4 linked regions of the Coturnix japonica genome follow. The protein of the gene in region 1 interacts with the protein of each later gene in a pairwise test. Links are inferred from orthologs where the notes say so. Each region holds a gene or a part of one and is shown in the gene's direction. Other genes may lie near its edges. The genes, in order: NUP50, KPNA6, KPNA5 and KPNA1.

Region 1 (7,369 bases):
ATTTATCAAAGACTTCACAGTGCCCTTTGTGAACCTTAAGAGGCAACCCTGGCAGTGGTGCTTGGAAGGCACCCACTGCGTGGCAGAGCACAGCTCAGGGAGACTGGGAGGCCAACACTGACCTCTCAGTTGGCTACTGAAAGAAAATAGAAATAAAAAAAGGAAAAAAAAAAACAACACATATAATATATAATATATATATATATATAATGTGTGATATAATTTGTTCAGAACTCAATATACACTCTATGGGACATGCTGTGTAGGTTAGCAGTGATGGAACATGGACTATGCACTCACCTGTCTGAGGCTCAGGATGACAGCACAGTCTGAGACTGTGTTGTGCTTTAACCAAGCAGGCAGCTCAGCATCACTCAGCAGCACTTCTCAGCAGTTATCAACATTATTGATAGGATTCCCACTATAAGGATGTCTTGCTTCTTTACTGCAATCTGCATTTATAATATTTATAGCATTGTTATTTGCAGCAATTTTGATTATTATGTTTGGTATATGTGCCAAATCCAAGCTAATCAGTGCATTAATTCACTAAGCGTGCATGGTGTCCCTGAATCTGAGCTGCATCCAGGTAGGGCGAAAGAAAATTCAGACATATAGGATAACACTTGGTCTTAATTCATGCAAACATGATTTGGACCTTGAATCGAGTGACTATATATTTATGGGGTGAATAACATGGGACTTGCACATAAGGGGTTAAAAATGCTGGTGCCTGCTTATCTCTTGTGTAAACCTTGGGGATGGAAATCTGCAAGGTTGGCATAAAAAGCAGCCAAAAGTGGGAGTCTTGCAGTGGAAGGACAGTTCTCTTTTGGCTAAATGTTTCAAGAAAAAGCAGATATACAGCTTCAGCAAAAAATCTCTAAGGCTGCAAAACCCAGAGTTATGCATTTACTGTGAAATTTAATATTAAAATGAACACCTCTGAGTATGCTTATAAGCTCTAAGAACAACATGCTGAACGTATATGACTATTTACTTGACTGTCCACTCAAATCATGTTAAACATCACCATCTTCAGAGATCCTCTCGGTCTCTTGTAAGGGAAGTATCTTTAGGGGGAAGATCAGGGCAGAGAAGAGGGGAAGAGAAAGGAAGGGAGACTGGAGGAGAGAAAAGAGATGAGATAAGAGATGGGACACCTCTTAGTAAGTACTGAGCATCACATCTTGGTGAAGAATACCCAGGGTAGCACTTATTTTGCCAGCACTATCATCATACATTAGCACTATTGCATCTATCAGTGGCAATTCCAAACTTGTTGCATGTGTCACTTCATTAAATCACCTATTTTTTGATGTGAATATGCCCAATGAAAAGAGAACTTGCCTATAGAAGGAAGCAATTTTTGTGTTCTGGGGGCTAAGCAAGGCAAACAACATGAAGGTCAGGGAAAAAAACCTTCACACTTAGAGAGAGAGGTCCGGGAACAAAGATCTGAACTCAGTTTTGCATGTGTATATTTTGAATATACTCAATATACCATAGAATTATTGGATGGCCTGGATTAAAAAGGACCTCAGAGATCACCTTGTTTCAACCCCCCTGATACATGCAGGGTGTCCAGCCACCAGACCAGGCTGCCCAGAGCCACATCCAGCCTGGCCTTGAATGCCCCCAGGGATGGGGCAGCCACAACATCCTTGGGCAACCTGTTCCAGTGCATCACCACCCTCTGTATTGTGGAACAGACCTCTGCTTCAGGAATCTTAAGGGTGCCTGACAAAAAAAATCAGCGTAATCTAGTGGGAGAGTTTTCATCTTTTTTTTTTTTTCCTCTTCCAAGTATTGAATTTGTAATAGAATAGTATGTTCTAAGAGCTTTCATTCGCTGTTACTCTTTCCTCTTAAGGTTATACGGTCGCTATACATGATGCAAACTCGTTTGGAGACACTGCCGTCAAGGCTATAGGGGCAGGCTGTTACTTCATTCTGGACTTAATCCCCATCGCTATCATACCACAAGTTATAGGTCAGCCAAGCAAACTGCTGCCGCTCCAAGCCGGACCTGAGTGCAGCGAGCCGTGACTCAGCGGAGCTACACCCAGCCGGGCAATGCAGGGCAGTGCAGGCAATGTAGGGCAGCTGGGCCCCGAGTCATCACAGTATATACACACAGTATCACAGTCTGGTGCGGGTTGGAAGGGACCTTAGAGATCATCGAGTCCAACCCCCGGGATTCGAGCCCCTGTGTAGCAGAGCGGCACTTCTACCACTTGCGCCACAGGGGGGGATTCGAACCCGTGTCTCCAGTGTTGCATAGTGGCGTCCTTAACCACTGCGCCACCGTGGCACACTAATGCCATGAGGCGCCGGCTCCCCCTCAGAGCAGCACCGCTCCGCTGCCGCCACCGGCCCCGGCAGCAGGAAGAGCGCGGCTACGTCACGTGACGAGCAATTCGAACGAGCGGCGCGAGACGCCGACCACGCGCAGGAGCGGTCAGCCTCCCGCGAGAAGCGTCGCAGCGAGGCCTCCCATTGGGCCGCGGAGGTCACGTGTCTCGCATCCCAACGGCTGGCGGCGGGGTAGCGGCCTGCTCCGCCTCCTCCGTCCCTCGAGCTGCGGCCGCGGGGCGGGCTGCGCATGCGCGGTGGGTGCGACCGCCGGGCCGGTGTTTCGTGTGGTTCCGAAGGCTCAGGGCGGCACGAAATGGCGGCCTGACGGCGGGCTGCCACACTGCGGGAAGGCACAGCGGGCGGCTGAGGGCCCCGGCGGGGGATGGTGACGGGGCTCCGGAGCCGGGCAACCAGCGAACGCGCTCTGCTCGCCAACCGAAGCTTCGGCCCCGCGGCGAACGACAGTCATCGGGCCGGGCCGCCGGGCCGCGCGGGTGAGTGGCAGTTCCTCCCCTCCTCCCCTCCCGTCTTTTCATAGTATCACAGTATCACAGTCTGGTGCGGGTTGGAAGGGACCTTAGAGACCATCGAGTCCAACCCCCGGGATTCGAGCCTCTGTGTAGCAGAGCGGCACTTCTACCACTTGCGCCACAGGGGGGATTCGAACCCAGGGGCTCCGGTGTTGCAAAGTGGCGTCCTTAACCACTTGAGCCACCGGGGCACAGCTCTGTCGCGGCGCTGCGGCAGGGTGAGGCTGAGGCTGCGGGGGCCGTTGCCGGTGGGCTGGCGCCTGCCCGCTGCGGCTCCGGCCGGCCCTGAAGGCCCCGCCGCGTGGGAGCCTCCCCTCGGGGAGGGTCTGCGGGCGGGGAGAGGGGTGGCCCTGTTGTGGTCGTGTCACCCCGATAAGAGGCCGGCGGATTAAAAAGCAGATCGGCGTCGGTAGCGGGAGTAAGGCCGGGTAGCCAGCTCGCCCTGTAAGGTGTGCGGGCAACGGGTAGGCTCGCGACTTTAAAGGGCGGGTGGCGTTTAGAGGAACTGCGCTGGCAGATGGCAGGAATACGTTGCGCTGCACAGGAACACAGGGCTTTAATCACCGTGAAGAACCGACGGTGTTCTGCGAGACTGCTGCTATAGGCGTTTACAGAGGAAACGACGAGACAGAAGGCGTGTTGAAACAGCACGCTGTTTGAGGAAGCCTGGCTCAGCTGCCCCGTGCCCTGTGATTTCCGGACCTGATGGAAGGCGGCGGCAGCTTCCCACTTAAGAGCAGGGCTGCAAAAAGCTCCATAATGCTGGTCGTGCAGCCCCACTTTAGCTGGCTTAAGGCTCCTGAGCACTGCTGGGGTGACGGTGCCTTCTGTAGCTCCCGCTACTGAGCTTGTAAGTTGTGACAGTGCCGATTTTTTAACCCCCTTTGTAGAAGTTAGATTGTGAAATGTAAGAGAAGTTCTTGTAATACAGCCTTAACTCAGTGGGTCGTAGTAGCTCAACAAAGCACGTGTTGAGCTTCTTAAATAAAAAGCTGTTTCTCATAATTCTCCCATCTAAACCTGCGCTTGTGACAGAAAACTGCCAAAGGTTGTGGCTGCATCTAAAAAGTAACATAGAGCTCGTTTTGTATTGCTTCCTGTTTCACAGCTTAGAAATGCCTAGAATCCTCTTGCTGCTGTCTTCATATAGGTTAGATTCTCTTGTCAGCTCCTATTTTCAGACGTGACCTAGAGAAATCACACAGAATCACACTGATCACAGAATGACTTGGGTTGGAAGGGACCTCAAGGATCATGTAGTTCCAACCCCCCTGCCTGGCAGGGTCACCAAACATACACATTTACTAGATCAGGTTGCCCAGGGCCCCGTCCAACCTGGTCTTGAACACCTCCAAGGACGGGGCATCCACAACCTCCCTGGGCAGCCTGTTCCAGGGCCTAACCACTCTCCTAGTGAAGAACTTCCCCCTAACACCCAACCTAAATCTTCTCTCTTTTAACTTAAAACCATTTCCCCGTATCCTGCTATTATCAGCCCTTTCGAAGAGTTTACTCCCCTCCTGGGTGTAAGTTCCCTTCAGGTATTGAAAGGCTGCAATGATCATGTGAAGACAAGTAGGTATAAAGAACCTGGAGCCTGAGCCAATTAGTTTCCCACTTTTTCCTCATAGTGGAGAACAGGCTTTCTGTTTAATATAGCGCTTGTAATGCTTCAGTGGCTGTCATTAGGACTGGTAATGTGATCTTGTGTGGAATCTGATGGAGTAACTCTAGGTTAGTCTCATGAGCTTTTGAGCTGTGGTCGCTGCCAATGAAATGCAATCTCGCCTTCCTCTGCTGGTAAGTGTTTGTGTGCCCTTGTGGGAAGCTGCACTGGGGAGACAATTGTAAAATAAGTATTTTTAGTTATTTTTCATTGGGTTAATTTAACCAGTTCCCTCGTCTGCAGAGAATCATGTAGTACATGGTAGGACCTCTTTCTTTTCCCCAGCAAAGTGGGGCTTATGCCATTTTAAAGCATTTACGTAGAACAGCTTTTTGCTTCCGCCCTTCTAAAAGATCCTAATAAGTTGCCTTGTGAAATTCATGGCTCTCAGTCACAACCTCTGTAAGTTGTCTCATTTATTTGCAATAGAATTTGTCAGTATTCTAATAGTAATGTCCTAGCAATCTGGTTCTTTGTAGGAGGGTATTGTTTTCATCCTTACCCAAAGTGAACTGGCTTTAGTCAGTCATTATCAGTATATTGATTATAGGTGCTGGCAAGAAACTTTTCTCTTGCAAAGCTGTTAGGTTTTACCAGCTATCCTGAAGGAAGACGGACTGGGATATGTAATCTTTTAGCTAGATCCTTTTATATGTGTTCGTTGTTTTTTTTCAGCCCATCAGCCTAATTGGTGACAAGGGATGGAATACAGGACTGAAAGGAATTTTTCTAGCTTGCTCCACTGCTGAAGAAAAATAACTTTGTGACTGAACTGCATATTTCTGTTGTTGCTTGATTTTAGTATCAAGTACGGCTAATAACCACAATCCCAGTTTCATGTGCTGTGTTGATTGTTGTTGCAACAAATGTTAAAAAACACTTTGTTTCCAAATGTTGTTCTAATTTTGACTTAGTTCTTTGTGAACTCTGATTCCAGTTACTTGTTCTGAATAACAGAAGTTGAAGATTCCCTTCTTAGAATGACCGGGCAATTAAATCTCTGCATTTCTGATCTTTTTTCTACAGGTGTGGAAAAATGGCAAAGAGAATTGCAGAAAAGGAACTGACCGACAGAAACTGGGATCAAGAAGACGAAGCTGAGGAGGTAAAACTATAGATTAGATTCACACAGAATCACAGAATTGTAGGGGTTGGAAGGGACCTCTAGAGATCATCGAGTCCAACCCCCCTGCCAAAGCAGGTTCCCTACACCACATCACACTGGTAGGCGTCCAGGCGGGTCTTGAATATCTCCAGAGAAGGAGACTCCATCACCTCCCTGGGCAGCCTGTTCCAGTGCTCCCTCACCCTCACTTCAGCACATTTAGCACATTAGCTGCCTTTACCACTACTTGAACTGTGGAACATATCTCAATATACCTTCTCTGAACTGGATATGGTTTGTAACAGTGTAGCTGTTACTGATAGAGTACCTTCAGCAAAGTTAGTTTCCTTGTTGACTTGCTTGCCATAGTAAACAGCAATTGAATTGCTTGCAATAGTAAAATTGAGATTGCAGTCTGTATAAAGGGAAATTAAATGCAGAACAGGAAGAACGGAGCTGTGAAATATTAGCTAATCATATCCAAGCACCTGGCAAGCTAATAGTAGAACTGTAATGTTCTTCATTTTTATTTTTATTTCTAATTTCTTCTCTTACTTGTTAATGAGAATTGTTACAGTTCTGTTCAAAAAGTATCTCAGGGTTTCAGTCATCTCATCAGGCTATGACAAATCAGTGTATTCTGAGAGTTACACTAATAATTCCATGTCTTTATCTCAAAGGTGGGAACCTTCTCAGTGGCTAGCGAGGAAGTCCTGAAGAACAGAGCTATTAAAAAAGCAAAGCGTCAGAATGTTGCATCAGAGGTAATGTAATCACTGAACTTTAGTATCATAGTTCCAGTCAGTTGCAAAAAATGACATCTGTGTTCAAATCTTTCCTTATTTTGGCTTGTAACAATTCTGGATAAAGCCATCATTTTAAAGGTATTTGCGACTAGCCAACTGCTCCACTTCCAATCCTAGCAGAGCTGGAGCCTGGAAATCTAGCCTGGAAGCCACTAATTATCATGTTGGAGGGCTCGGGGATGTCCAAGGCAGTAAAAGCCAAGTTATTAAGTTGGTCTAAGAGTGAAATAAATGTGTTCTGTTTAAAAACAGTAGTACTTTTTCCCCTGGAAGACCTTCAGTGTGTGATATACATTTGGCAATAATAAATGGAATGTAGAAGGGAAATTGGCCTTTCTTAGAGATTTAGTTCCTGTGAAAGTATTAACTGTTCTAACCAAAGTTTAGTCCTTTCAGAAATCCTTGACAGATGCTTTGTTGTACATCTTTCTGTGAAACTTTCTTTCAAGATTGCTTGTCTGGTGTTAGGAATTGGACAGTTTTTACCTACCATCCAAGTTCCTTTTAGATAGGACAAGACTGGGCTCAGTTATGAGCTATGTAGCTTTTTCTTATGTTCTTTTTCCTTCTGTCCAAGCAATATAAATGTGGCAGCTGTCCCATCTCACTTCTACCTGTGGTAATTTTAGCCACCAATGTGGTAGAAGGTGCAGTTACTTTAAGAACTCTATTGGGAAGAGGCTTATAGTGATGTTAAAGAAAAAAACAAACACCCAGCACCTTGGACAGGGAGGATTCAGGGGCAAAATAAAATGGAAAGACAGAATTGGTTGAGAAAGGGGACCAGATAATCGCAGAAGAAATGATTGTAAGGTTGGGATTCAGCTGTCAGATATCAGAACTCGAAAAAGTATGATAGGCTAGACAAAGTCTAAAAAGCAGAATAGATGTCAGGGTAGTTGAG
Region 2 (7,259 bases), on another chromosome or scaffold:
CGAGCGCTCCTCAGGGTCCGGCCAACCAGGGGTGTCTGCTGAGCCGCTCCACCGACGGCCGCAGCACCATGTCTGGCTCCAGGAGCCTCTTCAGGAGGTCCTGGCACGGCCTGGAGACCTCCAGGTGCCTGGGCAGGGAGACGCCTTTCTGCTGCTGGCACAGCATCTGCGGGATGTTGGTGTCGTCGAAGGGCAGGTGGGCGCACAGCAGGACGTAGAGGATGACGCCCAGGCTCCAGATGTCGCCCTTGCAGCTGTCGTGGGGCACCCCCTGCAGCACCTCGGGGGCCGCGTAGGCCACGCTGCCGCAGAAGGTTCTGCTCAGCTCTCGGCTGCCCACGGGGAGCTGCTTGGCGAAGCTGAAGTCCGTCAGCTTCACGGTGTGTCCCTGCAGCAGCGCGTTCTCGCATTTGAGGTCGCGATGAGCCACCCCGCAGCCGTGGCAGTAGCGCAGCGCCTCCACCAGCTGGCAGAACAGCTCCCTGGCGCAGGGCTCGGGCAGGGGACCCCTGTGTGCCACGTAGTCGAAGATGTCCCCGTTCTCGGCCAGCTCCATCACGAGGCAGATATTCCCCTCCGCCGACTCCAGCACCTCGTACACGTGGATGATGTTCTTGTGGTCCAGGCGCTCGATGATTTGGAGCTCCCGGGGCAGGAACTTCTGAATGAACTCTGCCAAGAGGGGGAAAATTCACTCAGTTCCTGAGCTGCTGAGCCCCGGCATCGCACCGGGCTGCGGCCACAAAGTGGGAAGGAAGAAGGGTTGTGCCAGGGTGCCTGGCTCCAAGCAGGGCCCTTGTCGGAGGGGTCTGAGCTGTGCTGCTTTTGGCCACCTTATGGCTGGAGGAGCCGGATGGACACCCCATGGCCTGGCTGCTCCGAGCTGCCCCCAGCACCTCCCTGCCCCCAGCACCTCCCTGCCCTTCCTGCTCTTGGGTGGAAAGTTTGGGAAACTCATTTTCTGCCTGGAACTAAAAGCTTCCAAGGAGGGGTCGGTACCTGGGAGCTCTTCAGGGGCAACTTCTTACCTTCTGGACTCGCCCTTTTATCAATGATTTTAATTGCTACTTTCTTCTGGTGCTTTTGGGAAAAGGCCTCCTTCACCTTGGAGTACGTTCCCTCCCCAATGGTTTGGCCGAGCTGGTATCCGCTGGCGAGCAAAAACTCCTCCATGTCCTCTCACAAATCGGGGCCGTTCAATCTCAGTTTTACCCCCAGCAACTCGACAACAGCATCGCAGCAGCCAGGGGCTCCCCGTGCTCCCTGTTGGCACGTGTAGAGCCACCAGGCCCTGCTCCTGCCCTGGTGGGAAGGGGCATCGAGGCGCCTGTTGTAGCATGGGCGTGTTATTGTGATGCAGCCGATGCTGCATGAATCCCAGATGACGGAGGTGCATCAAAGTGGGCGACAGCTCGGCCAGGCAGGGGGGAATTGGGCTGTGCTGGGCAGGACCTGCTCGGTGGGCACCGTGAGTACAGGGGGGTCACAGGGTCCATTCTGTTCCTCTCCCGTTTTCATCGGGGTGTGGCGGGGGGGCTTTAGGAGCTGCTGCTCACACAACACTTTGCTGCTGCAGGGAGGGGACCCCAGGCTGCGCCCATGAGCTCAGAGCTGTGCTCACACCGACCCACCGCGGCCTCACGTCTGAGCTGAGTGTGTCCAGCTGCTCCGGCGCCTGCAGCCCAACCAGGCCGGGCTCCTTCACAGCAGGAAGGTGCCGGTGCCGGGATCGCAGCCAGGCCCCGCTGCAGCTCCCAGCTGCTTCTCCCTGTGCAGAGAAAACCGGGCCGGGCCATGAGCTCCCAGGAAGCGCCGCGGGCCCGGAGGTTCCCCATCGAGGCGGGCGACTGTTGTAGTGCGGCCGCAGCTTTGGAGACACAGCAACGGGTGGGCACAGCGTGGACTGCGGGCAGGTGAGGGTCCAAAGGGGCTCCTGTGATGCTGCAGGTTGTGCTGTACTGTGCTGTACTGTACTGTGCTGTACTGTGCTGTGCTGTACTGTGCTGTACTGTACTGTACTATGCCGTACTGTGCCGTGCTGTGCCGTCCCTCTGACCCCTGTCTCCCCGCAGGCAGTTGCGGCGCTGTCCCGCCAACCACCGCCTGACGCTGCCGCACATCCCCATCAACGTGTTCATCGCCATGGGAGGGAACTGCCGGCCCCGCAGCACCTGAGCGGCCCGTGATGTTTATGCACTTTGTAAAGAAAGGCCCATCCTAACGCGATCCCCGCCTGCTGCTCCTTGTGTGTCCGGCCGTGCGGCCCAACGCGTCCCGTGGGCTCCCGGGGCCGCCGCTCCCGGCTCAGCTCGGCCCGGGACGGAGCTCGGGGCTGGGGGGTGCAATGGGGGGGGTCGTGTCGGCGCGTGGGCACGTGGCGGGACACGAGGATCCACGCGGGACCCGCGGCCGCGAGTTGAAGCCCGGCCCCGCCCCGTGACCCCGTTCGGGGCGTTGCTCTCCGCTCTCGTCCCGCCGCGGTCCCTCTCGGCCGCCGTCCGCCGCTCCCCGCCCTCCCGCTGCCGCCGCCATATTGTGGCCGCCGCCGGAACGTCCGTGTCGGGATCCGCGATGGGTGAGAGCGGCGGGACCGGGCGGGGCGGGATCGGTACGGTACGAGACGGCGGGGCTGCGGCCGTGTCCGCACTTGGCGCTGCCGGGCGCTCGGTTGGCGGCACTGACTCAGCCCGGGGCCGGCAGCCCCAGCGCGGCCGTTGGGCTCCGGGGCGGCGGCGGCCGGAGCTGCGGGAACCGCGTGTCGGTTGTGTCCGTGTGTCTGTCGGTGTCTATCCGTGTGTGTCCGTGTGTGTCCGTGTGTGTCCGTGTGTGTCTGTGTCTGTCCGTGTCCGTCGCTCTTTGGGCCGTCCCGCGGTTCCGCTCGGTGCCGTTGGCCGCTGTCGGTTCGGGTTCCGGAACCGGCTGCGTCCCGTGGGGCGGAGTTCGGCGGCGGTTCCGCTCCGTGTCCGTCCGGTCCGGTCTCCGTTCGTTGCCCCGCGGTGCCGCCGTTCCCCCGGACCGAACCCGAACCCGAACCTCACCCCGCGCTCTCGCAGCGGTTCCGGTGCCGTTCGGTCCGTCCCGGCGCGGTGTCGGTGTCCCCGCGGTGTCGGTGTCCCCGTTCCGCCGTTCCTCGTCTCGATCTTTAACTTTTCCGCTGACTTTTATCATAACCCAGCTCTAATTTCCGTTCCCGTTCCCGGTCACATTCCCGGCCCTCATTGCGCGGTGCTGCCGGCCCGGTCCCGCTCCCGGCTGCCGGGTCCCGGTGTTTAACGGGCCGTTTCCCGGCGGGTCCCGGTGGATATCGGGCCGTCTCGCTTTATTTGCTCGAGTCGAGGTGAGCAAACACGATCTTTGAGTAGCGGATCCCGCTGTCGGTGCTGCTCGTTGGCGGAGCAGCAGAATCTCCCCATCCCGAGCTGTGTTCGGCCGTTTGGAGCCGCTTTGGGGCCGGGACGCTGCAGCATGGAGCTGACACACGGAGCTGATCCTCGTTGCCGGGGGTGTCACGGACGCTCCTTGTTGGGGCTGTGTTCCATCACACATCATCGTGCTCCTGTGATGTACAGACAGGACCTAAAGCCGCCGGCTCCAGGGCAGCAGGAGCTGAAGTGTAAGTGGGTCTCACAGCCACTCCATGATGCATCTTGTGCTGCTCTGAAGCAGTTCCTGCTGCTGGGTGCAAACACTGACAGCGTGCAGGGCTTTTCACTGCAGGACTATGGAAATCACAGGGAGATGAAACAAGGAGCTCCCAGGAACCAGTTTGTGCTCCTGGCTGCTGTGTGTTGGCAGCTGGGATGGCTGCAGCTCAACTCTTGGGATGTATTTGCTGCTGCTGCCTTGGTTTGCTCTGTATTTAAGGAGCACCCATTATTTCGGCTTTGATTTCTGCAGCGTCAGCTGAAATGGCCGCGATGCTGCGGGTGCAGCTCAGGGGAATCAGGGAATCCTCCCAGGTCTGTGGCTGCTGCTGTGCAGAACCTTCATGGAACTTCAGCTTTGCTTTAAGGAGCAGCTAAAGAAAGCTGTGATGTGACATGCCTTATACCCACGGCTCAGAGCAGCCTCTGCTGCTGCTACTCAGACTTGAGGTGAGCAGGTGAAGCAGAACAGCCACGGGCAGCTCGGAGGATCATCTGCATTGGGGTGTTGAGGCTTTACACGGAAGGGCCGTGGTGAATCCCAGTGTAACTGTTTCTGTTCTACCCCTCGGTCTGACTCAGCAGCACAGTCCTGATTTAGGCATGCGAGTTCCTGCAGTGACTCAGCTGGGAGCTTTAATCAGCAGCTGAACGAGTCTTTGAAGCCAATGCTCTGTAATGCAGGGAGGTGGGAGGAACCTCATGGGCAGAGAAGTGGGGTCGGGTTTCTGATTCAGTGCTAAGGGGCCGTTATGGTGTTGGCGGGTCAGCAGTGAGCCTGGATTTACCTTATGGCCCAGTGCTGCAGTTGGTGCTGGCTCTCAGTCTGAGTCCAGCTCCCATCCAACTCCCATCCTGCTTTCTCCTTCCGTCCCGCAGGCACTAAATACATCCTCTAAATACATCCTCGTGGTGCAGTGTGTGGAAAGGAGGGATTCCTGTGAGGGAATTCTCAGCTCACAAAGCACTTGAAACCATTCCCAATATGGATTACTTTGATTAAAGCCCAGCTTTAAATGCTGTTTTTATCAGTGATGTGATCCCAGAGGTGTTGACATGCAGGACTTGTTGGCTGCAGCCCTTGTCCAGCAGTGCTGCTGTGCAGACAGGGCTGGGCTCAGGGGTTACACTTTATATATAAGCCACAAAGTGGGAACGTGTGGCTGCTGTGTGCCTTTCCCAGCGTGGCTCTGAGCGCTCTCAATAGCAGCGCAGTGCACAGCATCCCGAGCTGAGCTTGGGAGGGTTCCAGCCTGGCTGGGGGCAGCTGATAAGTCAGGTTGGATTTTGTGTGAGCAGCGTGGCTCGGCTGCTTCGAACTTAGAGCGGACACTGAGGTGGGGCCACAAACTTTTATGGGATCCTTCTTGCAGCAGCTGAGGGCAGGTGGAAGGAGATAAAGGTGCTGCTGTCCAGCTGGCTGCCAGGGAGGAGCCGTTTGGTCTCAGGGTTAATTGGCAGTTTGCTGTGGATTATCATTGCTTCCTTCCTGTGCTGTGAAGGGCGTGGAGCTGGAGTCCAGCAGCCTTTCTCATGAATGGGGGAGAGGGGAAGCTGAGTGCCCAGAACAGGGGAGTGCAGCTGGATGCAGCCGAGCAGTTGGTGTCTGCTGTGCAGGGCTGGTGCTGGGTGCTCACACTGTACCTTGTCACTGCCCTGAGGAGGAGGTAGGAGCAATGGGATCAGGTCTGCAGTTCTGCCTTAGTCAGATACGGAGCAGCAGAAGTAGGTCAGGTGCTGAACACTTGCAGTAATCTGGCAGGACAAACACAGCCTATGATACATACAGCTCATCTTTCTGCAATGTTTTTAACTGGAATTGTAAGATAAAGGCCTGTTTACTGCGCGCTCGGTTGGATCTCTGCCATGTGTGTATGTCTGTGTTTTGCTGCTCTCACAGCCTGCTCTACAGCTCTGCAGTCAGTGCAGTTACTGAGTGAGCACCTGCTTGTGCCCACAGCAGCCTGTGGTCAGTGTCTGAGTGCAGGGAAGGTGCTGAGGTGTGTGTTATGTCATGGGCATATGAGGGAAATGGTGCTGGAAGCTGAACTGGAGTTGGTTGTGTGCCTCCACACCTCCAATGTGTAACACATTGGTAACGTGCTTCAGTGCCATCAAGTTGGATCCGGGTTCCTTTCAGAACAGTGAGTCTGCTCTGCTTCCTATAAACTCAATATACTAGTCATGACAACACAGCATTGGAGCTGATGTCAGGATCTCATTCCAGTGCACAGCTTTGTACTTCAGCACCAAGCAATTGGGAGAGGCACTGCTTCACCTGTGTGTGCTGGCTCCTCTGCTTGAAGGGGACACCTGAGTGTGACCAGAATCCTGAGGGCTCTTTTTCCTCTCCACAGACAACATGGCGAGTCCTGCCAAGGACAACTATCGAATGAAGTGCTACAAAAACAAAGCCCTCAATCCTGAGGAAATGCGTCGGAGGAGAGAAGAGGAAGGAATTCAACTGCGCAAACAGAAACGAGAGCAACAGGTAACTCTCACCTTGACTAGTTTGTGTACAGCCTTAACGCAATCAAGACTGTGCTGCTGCATAACTGGAATCTTCAGGGATCTGTGCATTAAGGTTTGTTGGCAGTCCTTGTTTATCTCTGTCCTGAGATCTCTGTTCTTCTGCACATGGTACAGAACGTGGCTCACATGAAGAGCTCTTCCAGCACTTTGTCTTTGGGGTACTAAAGGTTTTTGTTCACAGATCCTTGGTTTTAATTTCAGTTGTTGGTTTTGTTGATTAGTAAATGGAGCTCCTGCTCCAAGAAGTGAGACAAGTAGGTGGAGGTGACTGCACTTACTTCTGGACTCTGAGCTGGTTTTTTTTTTGGCTTGGAAGTCTATGAAAGTGAGAGGTGATTCCCAGGTGATGCACGTGGCTCAGACTGAGCGGTTGCATCACCTACGAGCCGCCCTCTTCTTGCTTTTCCCATCTTGTAAGGCCAAATTCTGCACTTGCAAATGCCAGTGTTTCACTGAGCTGGGATTTGCGTATCTGAGGGCAAGACTCAGCATGTTTTATTGGGGTTTGTGTGCCAAGTTAGTCCTCCGTGTGCAGGGCTGTTATGAATGACTCCTTGTTTTTGATTTGGATTGCACTTAGTTCATGGCTGACGGTATCTCGTTTGAGGAGCAGGAACATCTAGTTATGACGACTGTTAAACAAACACTGCTTTCTAATAACTCCTGTGCTGTGTTCTCTGCCAGCTCTTTAAAAGAAGAAACGTGGAATTAATCAATGAAGATGCCTCCATGTTCGATAGCCTCCTTATGGATTCCTATGTCAGTTCCACGACATGTGGGGTAAGGTGCCTTTCCCTGTTGCATTTATGCCTTCAGGCTTCATGCTGTGGCCTGCATAGAACTGACAAACCTTCACCTGTTTGTTTTCCTGCTGTTGAATACGTTGCAAATGTTACTACAACCAAGTGAAGAAATGTGCCAGGATCCAAACAGTGTGTTTTAACCTCAAATAGTGCATCTTTGGATCATGAGCTAAGAACAAAACTGTGGTAGGATGTCTTGACTGTGATACCTGAAATGTGACACGGAACCACTGTTCTGTTTCCACCCTTTAAGGAGGGAGTGATCACAAGAGAGATGGTA
Region 3 (6,629 bases), on another chromosome or scaffold:
TACAGCAGGTTTTCTTCTGGGATTTGATTTGAGGGAAGAAACAAATTCCTGTACTTGCTGATGGTGGCAGACAATTGTTCCTTCCATTAGGTCAAAATTGAGCAACCTGGTGGTTTTGCTTTTATTGTCTCATTTTGCTCATAAGATCAGTAACTTGTTGCTTATGCCCCTTAATGAGGTGCCTGATCTCTGAAGTGACCTGTGCTTTAATGTGCAATTCAGAAATGCCTGTGTAGGCAAAGATTTTTCTCTTATTTCTCTCTTGGAGATTTTTGTTCATGAACTGGGTATTGCCAGCAGCTACTGGAGTATATAGCTGTTGCTTTAGATACTTTTCTAGTATGAGAGATGGTAGGTTTGCCTTTCAAGCTCTGACGTTTTGGAGTAATTCTTTTATTTTTTCTTTTTTTCTTTCTTTCTTTTTTTTTAATAGACATCATGTCAAGCCCAGGGAAAGATAACTTCAGAATGAAAAGCTACAAAAATAATGCACTTAATCCTCAAGAAATGCGCAGACGAAGAGAAGAGGAAGGAATCCAGCTTCGGAAACAGAAAAGGGAAGAACAAGTAAGCATCTTGATAAGCTGCTGTTAAGTGTTCATGCAGCCTAATTCAGATATGTAAAAGAACCTGAGCAGATTCCTTCTGTGAAGTACAAGCCAGAGCACCAAATTAAGTCTGTTTTCTATGCAGTCTTGGGAAGCACCAGGCACCTCTCAGTAGGATTATAAATCAAAAAGGTGAACAGAAGCACTGTAAGTCACTGTGGCATTTGAAGTAGAGACCTGTGTTTCTTAAATCTAGTCCTTAGTCTCATTTTCAACATGTGAGCTGAAGACTGAGCTGAAAGGCTAACCTTATTTCTGGTAAGAATGGGAAAACCTTCATTCTCTTCTAAAGTTTGAGCCAGAGATGCACTATTAGAAGTGAGAGGGATGTACTTCAGATTGCCCAAGAGTTTTTCTACCATAGCCTAGTGAAGTGGCCAACAAACAGTGATCTGTAAACATGAATTTACATATATTTTAACTTAAGTTGTCTTTATTGATTTTTATTTTTTAGTGATTTCATGTGTAATTTCATGGTTGGTGGTAATTCCTTTTCCCAGAATATTTGGTAGTTCATTGCCTGGAAATTGAGGAATATAGCTTGTTCTTCTTACTCTAAAGGGGCTGACTTTTGTCTCCCACCACCTAGTGAATCCCAGGCACTGATCTACAGTCTCCTGTGAGGTGGGAATGTTTACCCTTCTCCTGAGAGAGTGGTGCTACTGCATGGAAAAAGAATTTATATTAGTTGGGCCAGAGAGGTAAGAGTAAGAAGAAGTATGCTGCAGGAGCGTTTACCTGTGATTGAGTTGATCTGAATTGCAGCTCCTGCTGAAAGTTCTGTGTATTTTGTAATAAATGCTCCGTAGGCAAATTATTTATTAAAACAAAAAGAAAAACATTGTTTGCCGCACTGAATGTTGTTGAGAATATTTTGGCCATAATTGACTGGTGTTTTCAGCTCCTTTAGCACTGTTTGGATCAAGTTTGTGTAGGGAAGTGAGACTGTTTTTGCTCCAGAAGAAATTATAAATCATAGATAGACTGTCTTCCTGGACAGAAACGGTTTACATTTTTGTCATTTACGTTTTTACAAGATCCTGTATGGCATTGTTGAGTGCTAGGAAGAATGGCTGATTTCCTAAAAGAGGAACATTGATTCAGGACTGTGCAATTGTTAGGGTCCAGGTTTGTGCCCAATCCAGAGTTTGATCAAGCAAAGGAGAGAGAATGCTTTGTTTTAGATTCCTATTTGTAATATAATTACATGTAAATTTGGTGTTGCTTGTTTGGTTTTGGGCACGTGTGACCACAGAAATGCAGATGTGTGTAGACAACTTTATGAAGAAAACTTTCTCCAGGACTTAGCAGGAGTTTTTATTATTGTGATTACTGATGAAATCTGAGACACTCAGTGGTCTGAGATTCTAACACTTATTTTTAAAGTTACCAGCATGTTATTCATAGAATTGTTAATGATTATAGTTGTAAGTGTAGTACTAAATCAAAGGTACATACTTTAGGTTTGGTCTGTGGAAGTAAGCAGGCTAACATGATTGTTAGGTTTGCATGCTAGAAAATGAGGAGCCACTCATTAAGCATAACGTATTAAATACCGCAGCACAGGTATGTATTTTAAACATAGATAGTATTTGAAGCCAATACCAAAATGTTTTTAGGATACAGAGAACATTTAAGGTCACATAATCTGAAAATTTTAAACTTTAAAGCAGAATTCCATTTGTGTGGATGAACAGGAAAGTGAGTGGTTGAAGTGCTTTGGCCAGTACAGGTGAAAGCCAGTGTCTTCAAGTAACAATCAGTACCTGTTCTGTGATAAACTTCCCCCACATTTCTCCACATTTCTTCTTTGTTCAGCTCTTTAAACGTCGAAATGTTTCTCTCCCGGGAAATGAAGAATCTATGGTGGAAAGTCCAATTCAGGATCCCGACGTCAGCTCTACTGTACCTATTCCTGAGGTAATCACTCTAGGATATGTCTAGAATATTGTGTTAATGTGTTTGTGCCAATCCTACAAAGCTGCCCTTTTCTTTTTAGGAGGAAGTTATCACAGTAGATATGGTACAGATGATTTTCTCGGATGATCCTGATCAGCAACTCACAGCAACTCAGAAATTCAGAAAACTGCTATCTAAAGGTATGCAAGCATTAATTTTTCTTTTTCCTCTTATTTTATTATTACAAATTTTAGTCAAACAGAGTCGGTCAACATTGAATTTTGCTTTACCTTAAAATAGAGCTTGCAGAAGCTTCTCAGTTTGTTTGTAACAAAACCAGGTCCACGTCTATTCTAACCTAATGACTAAATACAAAAAGTTTTATTGTTCTGTTGTTCAGTTTTCTGGACTAAATAACAAAGAAAAGGATATTTTGATATAAGTATACAGGGCAGTAACTGACAGTGACACACTAACATTACTTGAAGTATGTCTTGCAGTAATAGATTTTCTGATTCTGTGTTTGAGGGGATAAAAGTGATATGACTTGCCAAAAATGGGTGTAATTTTGTTTTGTTGTTGTTGTTCATGTAAAACATCGTCTTAAATTCATGCTGCTATTTGTACAGTCTACTAGACAAGAGTATACTTGATTATTTAAAGCTGTATTTCTGTTGATTGAGGGAAGAGTGTTGTGCTTAAATGCCAATAGGCAATTGTGTGTTATTGTACAGAATAGAGCAATCACTAAATTACAGCACGTTATGAGATTATCCAGCAGTCTTATGAAGGAAAAAAAGTCCTGCTCTTGGGATTAAACTGTTTGAAGGCTAGAAATGTATGTTTTCTGAGAATCACTCATGTTTTGTGTCATACCGAAAAAGTAATTTCAGTGGTCTTATTTTGTTAGTCTTATGCATGTGAATTGTTTTTGTTCTTTTTATCCCCCAGAGCCCAACCCGCCCATAGATGAAGTCATCCAAAAACCAGGAGTAGTACAGAGATTTGTGAAATTTCTCGAGAGGAGTGAGAATTACACGCTGCAAGTGAGTTTGGCTGGTACTTGTTTAGGGTTTGGAATGGGGTTAGAAAACCTGAAAACAGCTTTGGAAAGCATGCTGATTTTGTAAATTTAATATTATTATTTTTAATATGAAAATGTAATTATATCCATCAAAGCTGTAAGTTTTAGATATCCTAAGTTTTAACAATTGCCACTGGAATTGTAGCTCAAGTCTTGTGAATTTAGTAGTCTTTAGGGTGATGTATTCAGCTGGTCATATATTTGGATGTGGAAAGCAGCCTTTGTGACCATGAAATGGTAGAGTTCTCTGTTCTCAGTGGAGCCAGGAGAGGGAGCAGCAAAACTGCTACTTAGGACTTCTGGAGGGCGGACTGTGAATTGTTTAGAAGACTAGCAGGGGGAGCCCCCTGGGATTCAATCTTAGAGAGTAAAGGGGTCCAAGACAGCTGGTCGCTCTTCAAGAAGGAGGTCTTATGGGTGCAGGAATAGGCTGTTCCTCTGAGCTGCAAAATGAGTCAGCGGAGAAGAAGACCAGCATGGATGAATAGGGAGCTATTCTTGATGCTTCGGGAGAAAAAGGGAATCTGCTTACTGTGGAAGGGATAGGTGACTCAGAAAGAATATAGAGAACTTGTTAAGATGTGCAGAGAGAAAATCAGAAAGGTAAAAGCCCAGCTTGAAGTCAACCTGGCTGCTGGGGTAAAAAGGAACAAGAAGCTCTTTTACAGATACATACATCAACAGTAAGAAGACTAAGGAGAACCTCCATTCTTTACTAGATGAGTCTGGGAATGTGACCACTGAGGATAGGAAAAAGGCAGAGGTTCTGAATGCCTTCTTTAAAGATCAGACCAGTTATCCTCAGGGTTCTCTACTCTCTGACCTGGTAGTATTGGCTGGGGAGCAGGCAAAACCCCTCACAATTTAGGAGGATGCAGTCAGAGACCTGCTGCTCCAACTGGACTGCCGCAAGTCCACGGAGTCAGATGAGATTCAGCTGAGAGTGCTGAGGGAACTGGCAGAAGGTGATAGCCGGAGCTGCTTTCTATCATCTAACAGTGCTCCTTGTTGACTGGTGAGGTCCTAGAAGACTGAAAAGTTTGCCAATGTGACTCCCATCTACAAGAAGGGTTGTAAGGAGGATCCAGGGAACTACAGGCCTGTTAGCCTGACCTCAGTGCCAGGGAAGGTTATGGAGCAGATTGTCTTGAGGGAGATCACGCAGCATGTGTGGGACAACTGGGGTATCAGGCCTAGCCAGCATGGGTTCACAAAGGGCAGGTCCTGCTTGACCAACCTGATCTCCTTCTATGATTGTGGCCCTGCCAGGCAGGGGAGTTGGAACTTCATGATCCTTGAGGTCCCTTCCAACCCAGGTCATTCTGTGATTCTGTGATCTGGTGACCCGTCTGGTGGACGAGGGAAAGGCTGTTGATGTAGTCTACCTAGACTTCAGCAAAGCCTTTGACACTGTCTCCCACAGTATCCCACAGTCACTGAAGCTGGAGGTGTTCAAGGAATGTTTGGACATTGTGTTGAGGGACATGGTTTAGTGAGAACTATTGGTGACTGGTGGAAGGTTGGACTGGATGATCTTGTAGGTCTTTTCCAGCCTTGGTGATTCTGTGATTCTGTTCAAGATGATTTCCTGAGTGGTGTATTGAAAGCATCAGTGTAGATGTCTGAGCAGAATCTGGGTGTTTTTTTAGTTTTGGTTTGTTGTTTTTTTCTTGGAAATAGTGTGTTGTTCTACAGTTGAAATCTTACAAAAGAAATAAAAATACATGAAAACTTGAAAGCTAAAACTCTTGGAAAGTAATCTTGGGAAAAACAAGTGTCAAAACGATTAAGAGTAACTGGTAGCCTTGTGCACATTTGCATTAAAATAACTGAGCATAGCATAAAAACATTTGTACCAGTTAGTACAGATAATCTTACGGCACAGAAATTACAGTAATAGTAACAATTACATTGGAGTGCAAAGGAAAAAAGTTGGATAAGTAATCTCTGGAACTCTTGTATTAAACTGCTTGCAACAAATTTTGGTGTTTGGTTGTTTTTGTTTTGATTTTTACCGCTCAGTTATTTAACATGGTAATTTTTTGTTTTTCTCCTCCACAACAGTTTGAAGCGGCTTGGGCTCTGACAAACATAGCGTCTGGAACTTTTCTACATACTAAAGTTGTAATTGAAACCGGAGCTGTTCCCATCTTCATAGAGCTGCTTAGTTCAGAGTTTGAAGATGTACAGGAGCAGGTAACTGTTTTCTTGCAGTGTCTTATAACTATAAAATTCATTTAGGAACGTCTTCCCTCCTCTCCAGCATTTTTATTTTAATTCAGATAAAAAGATCTGAAGTCCCATTGACCTGTTATACCACTGATTTGACTCCAGGAAAAGTGTTTTATTTCCCTTATGATTCCCCAGCCTCTTCCAATTTTTCCAAGTCCTTGTGAGCCTGTTGTGGTTTTTTTTAATATTCTTAACTAATGTGAGGAAAAGCACCTCATTTCCTTTGTGCTGTGTACTGGTGGACAGAGTCTCAAACAACATAACATAGTGGAAAACAAAATGTAATTTTCTTTTTCCTAGCTTACAATGCAGCTTTATTTCTTAGATCCTTCTTACTGCAGTTTTCATCAGTGTCTTCCTGAATTTGTTATTTTTGTTGTTAGTTTTTCTTTTATTTTTATCTTTCTATAATAGGTAGTTGACTTTGTGTATTTCACAGAAAATTCAGAATATAAATCATTGGTCTTCTGAAATGTTATATTCAGGATTGTGCTGTGATTTTTTTGGATTCCAGAGTGTTTGCTGTAAGAATATGTGGATTATCTGTACAGATATGTAGATTATCTGATTTGCAGGCATGTGTAAATTCACTTGGATGCTTTCATTTTTAAGGCAGTGTGGGCTCTTGGTAACATTGCTGGTGATAACGCAGAATGCAGAGACTTTGTATTAAACTGTGGAATATTACCACCCCTCTTGGAGTAAGTATTGTAAATTGTTACCGGCATAAGGTGGGAAAGATTATATAAGTCGTATGTTTGTGTGATTCTAACTGGTTGGCTTCTCTATTTTTTTGTCTGATAACT
Region 4 (7,247 bases), about 4.7 Mb from region 1:
AGAGAAGAGCATGGGAGGAGACAGGGCAAGCACAAGCAGAAACATTAAGTAGTTTGGGGATGTTAAAAATAAAACCTGTGCATGTGACTGAGCAGCTCAGCTTTCAGAGCTGTTTCTTCCACTGTATTTGTTAACACTATCACTACTGGAGAGATACTTAGTGGAGAGGATGCAAGAGAGGCAGGATAGACCATGTCCTCTGCCCCAGGCATTAAGAAGAAAATAGCAAAGCATTTTCCAGAGCCCTGTTTTCATTTCCTGCCGCTCTCATCCTTTATGTTTCGTCTCCTCCTGGTGTCCCTATCAACCTGCGGTTGTTCCAGCCATCACTGCATCCCCTGCTTTCACTGTCACCTCAGCGGTGGGTGCAAACAATGTCAATGGATTTGCCACCCATAAAAGGTGTGGACAGAGGAACTGAGCCAGCATCCTTGCTTCCTTCCCTCTGGTTGCTGAAATATCAGTGCTTCTCCTCGGTGAGACACCACCTTCTTCCTTTTGTGGTGGCAGCTCTGAGAACCCAAATTGCAACAAGTGCCTCGCTTTGGCTTATCTTTCTTTGTTCTGATCTGTGAGACGCTGCTGGCTCTGAGAGTCTGAAACAGTGCAGGCAACTGTGTTTTCATTTTTAGGCTGAACAAAATGTCAGTAGGTGACAACCAAAGCTTGCCTGTGCCAATTGTGATTTAGTAGCGCTAAATATGGTTAGCAGTCTGGCTCCGTGGCCTTTTTATAGAAAGGGCTGTGTTATTGTGGTACCATTTCATACCATCCCACTGCACCGGGTAAAAGCAGGGCCAGCAGGAATATGTGTGAATCCATATTTCACCCAATCGTGACATTATCACTGCTGTGTTTGTCACTTACACTCACCCTCAAGTTCACAACCATACCTCAGCCTTTACCCACGGCAGCTTCTTCAGTGTTGTCAGTGACTTTTTCACTGTGCTATCAATATGCATAAGTACATATTCATGTAAAAATATATATGCATGTACATGTCTTGTTCAGCCTGGAGAAGAGGAGGCTCAGGGGAGACCTTATTGCTCTCTATAACTTCATGAAGGGGGGTTGTAGTGAGCTGGGGGTTGGTCTCTTCTCTTGTGTAATCAATGATAGAACTAGAGGGAATGGTTTTAAGCTGTGCCAGGGGATATTCAGGCTGGACATTAGGAAGTATTACTTCTCAGAAAGGGTAGTCAGGCATTGCAATGCACTGCCCAGGAGGGTGGTGGAGTCACCGACCATGGGAGTGTTCAAGAAACGTTTGGATGTTGCGTTGATGAATATGATTTAGCTGGGAAGTATTGGTAATGGTTGGACTGGATGATCTTCTAGGTCTTTTCCAACCTTGATAATTCTGTGATACATGTCATACGTATTTTGCTATACACACGTATTACAACCCACTGCCACTCACTGCACTACAGCTCCCATCCCACCACACACATCACGCACTGACTCATCTGCGGCTGCGCGGCCTAGTCCCGTTGCGCGCTCCGTGCCGGAATCGCTCCCCGACCCACAGGGCGCCGCGGTCGGGCCGGAATTGACGCATGGAGCCGGGCACATGCGCAGTGCCATCGGCTGCCAGCGCCGGCCGGACGGGGAGGCAGGGAGCGGCGCTCGCGCGCCTCGGGCCCGAGAGGAGACAGCGCGGGGCTGGGCCGGGCCCGCAGGTACGGGGGGAAAGAGGCCGCTACCGGGAGGAGGGGAGCGGCAGCCGGGTGCCGAGCGGGGCCGCGCCGGGGAGCGCCGCGGCCCGGTCTGCGGCGTGCGTATGGCCGGAGCCGCCGGCACGAGGCGGGCAGCGGGCGGCGGCCCAGCGGGTGGGTCGGGCCGGTGGCTGCGGCCTCGGGCAGAGCGGCCGGGAGGCACCGGGGCGGCCTCACCGCGTGGCCCGGCGGGGGCCGGCGGAGCGCTGGGATCCGAGTGCGTAGCGGCCGAGCTCGGCTGTGGGAACTGAGCGGCGTGGGGATGGAGGCGGGGCACGGGCTGAGCCGCACGGAAACTTCCTCGCTTGTTTTGAAGCCCGTCGTTCTTCGAGGTGGCGATTTCTATCTAGTTCAGCTAAAGCTGTTCCTTCTTGCTGCAAACCCGTCTTAAGTTATCCCAGCTACTCTTTGCTTTCTTGCGTGCTGTGCTGTGGGCCCTCGCAATTGCCGGTTGTCTTCCAGCCGGCAGGAACTCGCCCCATTCATAGTCTTTGCGTTTGTTCCCTCCTACTGAAACACATGTGAGGGGATGGTTTGAAGCTTTGCCTCTTGAGGGCGTTTAATGAAAACTGAAACTTCGGGCTGAGAGATGTGTCATGAGCTGTGGAAATCCTGAGCTGCTCCTTCTGCTCCCAAGTGCTTGTTTCTCTTTATTCGGTTTGATCGGAGCTTCTGTTTCTCTGGAGTTTTTCGTTCTCTGGCACATATTCTACTCTAACTGCTTACTAACTTCAGTTTGGTTATGCCTGTGGGCTATCCGGAGATGGGATTGCAACGTTATAGCTAGAAGCTAGGTATATGGAAGCTATCTTGTTTGTACTGATAGACTGTAGCAATGAATAGTTTGACTCAAACTAATCTTTGCTGTGTGTTTTTATTCTGTTGCTCTTCCCGCTAACTTACTGCATCGCGCTGATGTGAACTAGATAGTTCAAAACAAATTGACTTCAGCTTGAACTACACCCGCACCTTTTAATTACATGGAGATGTGCCCATAGGCACAGACAAAATTAGGAGCAGCTTGTGAGAGCTGGCAACATACCTCAATGTGGAAGGTTGTCCTCAGAATGGGGACCTGTGTTGTTTTTTATTCCCATAAAGATCCAGTGGTGCTTCAGCTCAGGAGAACATGACTGTTGTTGGAGCTTTAACAACCCCTCCCTCCCCCCAGCTTCCCCCCCTCTTATGCTTCTAAACAGTTCCTTTGTCATCTCTGCTCCCTAATTGCAATTCTGTACTGGAATGTTCATTTTTGCCCTCAGTGTGCCATCCATTGTGTTTTTCTGATGTTTTGCCTTCTGTGTTGATGTGGTCAGACTTGGCCTGTCACAGAATGACCCAGGTTGGAAGGGACCTCAAGGATCATGTGGTTCCAACCCCCCTGCCTGGCAGGGCCACCAAACATACACATTTACTAGATCAGGTTGCCCAGGGCCCCGTCCAACCTGGCCTTGAACACCTCCAAGGATGGGGCATCCACAACCTCCCTGGGCAGCCTGTTCCAGGGCCTAACCACTCTCCCAGTAAAGAACTTCCCCCTAACATCCAACCTAAATCTTCCCTCCTTCAACTTGGATCCATTTCCCCTAGTCCTGCTATTATCAGCCCTTTCGAAGAATAAAAGGTGGTCCAGGTGGTCCTGTGCATTGAGCTCATTGCCGCTTACTGGGGAATGTGCAGCTCAGGAAGGGAGAGGCAGCAGTGGCCCATTTCAGCACCACTTTCCTCAGGCACTTGTGAAACAAGTAGTTGTACAGGTTTCTGGTGGTGTGACAGTTTCTGAAAGGCTCTTAGTTGGTAAATGTTTATTTAACCAGATTGACAATCTTATCATCACTTCAGTGTTTCAGCACGATGCAACAGTGCTTTTTATCCCTTCTCTTTTTGTCCAGTTGAGTGAGATAGGCTGAGTGGTATTTTGGTTTTAGACTGCTTTTATCTGGTATTGAAAGAATTACACACTTGGTGAAGTATGGTGAGATTTTGTATCTCTAAACCCTACACAGGAGATTCTGGAATGATGTAATAGACAAACAAGCTACATGGGTTGCTCTGAAAGTAATGCCCCCTATTTATTTTCACAGAAGCTACAGGAGGATACAGTAACAGTCTTGATAAAGCAAATTGTCAGGTACAAAATAGTGTTTTTTGATGTAGTCACCATAACTAGCTATGCATTTTTGCCAATGGTGAACAAGAGCCTGCATGCTTCACACATCAAAATCTTCCCCAGTGGCAGTGAACTGCTGTCACCACTAGTAAAATGCACCACCCACTGCCTCACTGTGCTCACACCCACTGTTTGGTCTTCATAAACGTTCAGCAAGTGTTGATGAATGTCAGTGAGTGGCACTTTTTGCTCACATAAGAGTACACTAAACACCTTTGCTTCATACACACTTCCATGTCAGATGCCATTTTGTCAGGCTGCCCCTCTGCTGCCATCTGTTGTGCAGCTACAGCATGGAAGGGAATGTTGGTGGGAAGGTTCAAACCTTTACTGCCATGCCACCAACATCTGCCTTCTTGGTTGAGAATCAGCATAATAAAATAGGAAGCATTACTTCTGGAGAAGTCCTCATAGAAAGGCCAGAGCACAAGCTGAACTGGTAAGAGAATTATTCAGCTTCAATAGTGAGGGGTTAAGTAGAAGTCCTTGTTTAAATAATACGATAACGGGTAAGAAAAAGCCAGTATAAATTTCAGAGATAAGTGGTGCTGATATGAAAGTAAGGTATTTTCTTCTGCTCTTAAGCTTAAAACAAACAACAACGAAAAGGCAAAAAAAAAACCCCTTCCAAAACATTCACGATCTGTTAAGACTTTTGGAGTCTGCTAAGCAAGTAATGGGTTAAATTGCTTTATTTTATATCCAGGTAAAATATGGGGTTTTCTCAAAAGGAAACACAAGCAGCCGGATTTGAGGCCCATGGAAATATTGATGCTTTTGAATTATTTTGGAGAAGGTAGGGGGGAACTCTGTGAAAGCAGCAAAGATAAGCTTAAGGAAAACTCTTGGTGGAAGCCTCAGGTAAATATAGAGGCTGTGGAACAGAAGGACTGGAAGTCACGTTATACATTTCTTGAACTCTATTAAGCATTGTGCGCGTTTGGTAATTCATTATGAGGAGAAAGAATAGAGCATAAAGTAGATGATGAAGAGTAAATTTCCCTTCCCCAGAAATTTCAGGTTTAAAAAGGATGTTACGAGGAGGAGGTGTGTGTGAAAAAGCGATAGGAAGTAGTGTTGGATAAGTCCTAGCATTTCTGCTTCTGTTAATCCATTTGTGTAACGCAGGAGTAAATGGACTTCAGTGACATAGAAGCAGCTTTCAAATGGGATAAAGGGTAGTTAAGTACTGGAATAGGCTCCTCAGGGAGGTGGTTGAATCGCCATCCCTGGATGTGATTAAGAGCCGTTTGGATGTGGTGCTCAGGGATATGATTTAGCAGAGGGTTGTTAGAGGTAGGGCACTATGGTTAGGCTGCAGTTGGAGGGATGCTGGGTGCCGAGGGCATCCATCAGGCAGAGCCTGTGTTGTCCAGCCCCAAAGTTCCTAGGGCTTTGGTTTGCTGTGGCTGGTATGTTAATATTACACAACTCTTCCAGTTGCCAATGTCCGAAGCTCAGATATGTTCTTCATAACTTGGGCTTGCTGTTACTTTGTGCTGTTGAAGTCCAATTGCCTGGAAGAGTTTTGGGCACATTTCATACCATTCATAATGCTGAGTCACTGCAGCCAGTCCTTTTGTTGAAGGTGTTGAGGACATAAATTTCATTTCAGTGTCTTCAGCCATTCACAACTCCACGTGGAAATTGCTTTAAACTACAAATTGAACTTAATTTAGTCTGCTTTTAATTTGGTTTTAAAATATGTGGGATTTCCTATCCCCATGCAATGGAATGTTGAAAGCACCACACTTGTTCTCTAGCAAAGAATGTTCAGGACACATTGGTAATATTGGGACAGCTTTTTTATGGCAGATGATGACCATCAAGTGATGCAGATGACTTGTTATCTCAGATGGCCCAATTTTTAGGTATAACTGTATGGAAAATACTCTGTGGGTCAGCTGGTTCTCTTAGTACAGGGAGGAATCTCTGCTTTACAAGAAAAACACGATGTTTTAGTTCGGCCCATAGGAATAATCACTTTGGTTATTTCATGTCGAGGGGCCTGTTAGCATGAAGTTTTATTTTTTTAAGGGTATTATAATCCTATGTGTTTAAAAACTTAATTCCCCATCACCAGTTCCTTTGTTCTGTGGCTTGTGGGAACTGTTTGGTTTCAAGTTAATTGTGGACTACGGGGTTATAGAAATCAGCGTTCATTTAAACAGATTTGTTTGCACTGCAATGACTTTGTACGCAGCAGAGGAATCCTGTGTTTGTTATTCAGTTCAGAAAGGCTCAGTTAATGAATTGTGGACTTTTTTTGTTTAACTTTTAAGTTCCCCTGACTTTGAGAATTAGGATTTTTGCTGTCTTTCTCAAGCTTTCCAGAACTTTTAAAGCTCTCTCTGCTGCCCCATCAAGTCAAAACGGAACATAAAAAGTCAGAAATATTGTAGTGGTGGTAAATGTATTGTGAAATACTAGATATACCGTGCCTTGCATTAATTGTCTTAAACGTTAAGGTTGCCCTCATTTTGGATAGGCAGCAACCCAACTTGCTGAGTGGCCAAAGAGGCAAAACACACCGCGTTTGCTATAAATGAAGTCAGTTAGTACATAGTTGGCTGTCTTAAGGGTTTATAAGATAGGACAGAAGCAGCAGCGAATTAAGGCCTGATCATGGAGAGATTAATAGGTACTTAATAAAGCAGATCTGAAAGATAGAGATGCACGGCAATTCCCTGCATAAATCTCTGTGCTACTTCAGTTTTTTCACAGCGGACTCCCAAGATTTGGGACCCTGTGGCAAGGCTGTGTATTCCTTCCATGGTTAACTATGAATGTTACATTCTCTTAGATTACAGGAGCTTTAAACCTTCTCTGAAGATATTTCCTCTGTTTCTTCTCCATCGTTCCTCTGTGATATCTGCTGGAATGTGTGTCCCTGCTGTTCTTCAGGAGCTGAGGTCTGTCCTTCTCTACACTCAGCAGCCTTCCTGTCTGCTGCTGCAGCTTTCCCAAGCCATAGGAGATTCAATTCACATGAGCATTTCACTTCTGTGTTAGCACTAGGTTTTGAAATGCCGTCGGCAGAACTTATTTTGCAGGTCTTTACAAATACTGTTAACTTTATAGTGCTTCAGACTTGTTTTGCAATTCCATTTTATAGCTGGAGAAAGTTAAGCTAAGGCTTTAGAAATTGGCCGTGTAGTACATAAAGAATAGCTTTTTGTGGCTTTAAATACCCTTTCATCTTCTACATGTCCTGAGTTTTAAAGAAATTTTCTGATTTTGGAAGTTAGAAGACACCCTTGTCCCTTGAGTAATACCTGTATTTTTACTGATGAGCATTCCCACATGCCTCTGGGTTCCAATAAATACGCAAAAGAAGCGGATAGAACCTCAGCAGATTCATC

Evidence for each region.
Region 2: the proteins of NUP50 (region 1) and KPNA6 interact in binary tests that used the Homo sapiens proteins (3 or more experiments, as listed by UniProt). The two-hybrid records come from large-scale screens. The link is inferred for Coturnix japonica from reciprocal best matches to the Homo sapiens genes NUP50 and KPNA6.
Region 3: the proteins of NUP50 (region 1) and KPNA5 interact in binary tests that used the Homo sapiens proteins (3 or more experiments, as listed by UniProt). The two-hybrid records come from large-scale screens. The link is inferred for Coturnix japonica from reciprocal best matches to the Homo sapiens genes NUP50 and KPNA5.
Region 4: the proteins of NUP50 (region 1) and KPNA1 interact in binary tests that used the Homo sapiens proteins (3 or more experiments, as listed by UniProt). The two-hybrid records come from large-scale screens. The link is inferred for Coturnix japonica from reciprocal best matches to the Homo sapiens genes NUP50 and KPNA1.

The regions. Positions count from the first base shown.
Region 1 is NC_029516.1:64,559,645-64,567,013, forward strand, and holds the start of NUP50 (nuclear pore complex protein Nup50), read left to right. Parts: upstream 1-2,539; 5' UTR 2,540-2,852; intron 2,853-3,353; exon of another isoform or gene 3,354-3,738; intron 3,739-5,580; 5' UTR 5,581-5,590; coding exon 5,591-5,659; intron 5,660-6,339; coding exon 6,340-6,423; intron 6,424-7,369. UniProt on the Homo sapiens protein: Component of the nuclear pore complex that has a direct role in nuclear protein import. Actively displaces NLSs from importin-alpha, and facilitates disassembly of the importin-alpha:beta-cargo complex and importin recycling.
Region 2 is NC_029538.1:4,554,505-4,561,763, reverse strand, and holds the start of KPNA6 (importin subunit alpha-7), read left to right. Parts: upstream 1-3,310; 5' UTR 3,311-3,465; coding exon 3,466-3,613; intron 3,614-5,541; exon of another isoform or gene 5,542-5,724; coding exon of another isoform or gene 5,725-5,788; intron 5,789-6,001; coding exon 6,002-6,135; intron 6,136-6,860; coding exon 6,861-6,956; intron 6,957-7,232; coding exon 7,233-7,259. Other genes in the region: TSSK3 (testis-specific serine/threonine-protein kinase 3), read right to left, coding at 11-672, 1,029-1,173. UniProt on the Homo sapiens protein: Functions in nuclear protein import as an adapter protein for nuclear receptor KPNB1. Binds specifically and directly to substrates containing either a simple or bipartite NLS motif.
Region 3 is NC_029518.1:57,978,372-57,985,000, reverse strand, and holds part of KPNA5 (importin subunit alpha-6), read left to right. Parts: intron 1-433; coding exon 434-567; intron 568-2,426; coding exon 2,427-2,528; intron 2,529-2,607; coding exon 2,608-2,707; intron 2,708-3,458; coding exon 3,459-3,553; intron 3,554-5,655; coding exon 5,656-5,787; intron 5,788-6,435; coding exon 6,436-6,524; intron 6,525-6,629. UniProt on the Homo sapiens protein: Functions in nuclear protein import as an adapter protein for nuclear receptor KPNB1. Binds specifically and directly to substrates containing either a simple or bipartite NLS motif.
Region 4 is NC_029516.1:69,222,392-69,229,638, reverse strand, and holds the start of KPNA1 (importin subunit alpha-5), read left to right. Parts: upstream 1-1,516; 5' UTR 1,517-1,570; coding exon 1,571-1,679; intron 1,680-7,247. UniProt on the Homo sapiens protein: Functions in nuclear protein import as an adapter protein for nuclear receptor KPNB1. Binds specifically and directly to substrates containing either a simple or bipartite NLS motif.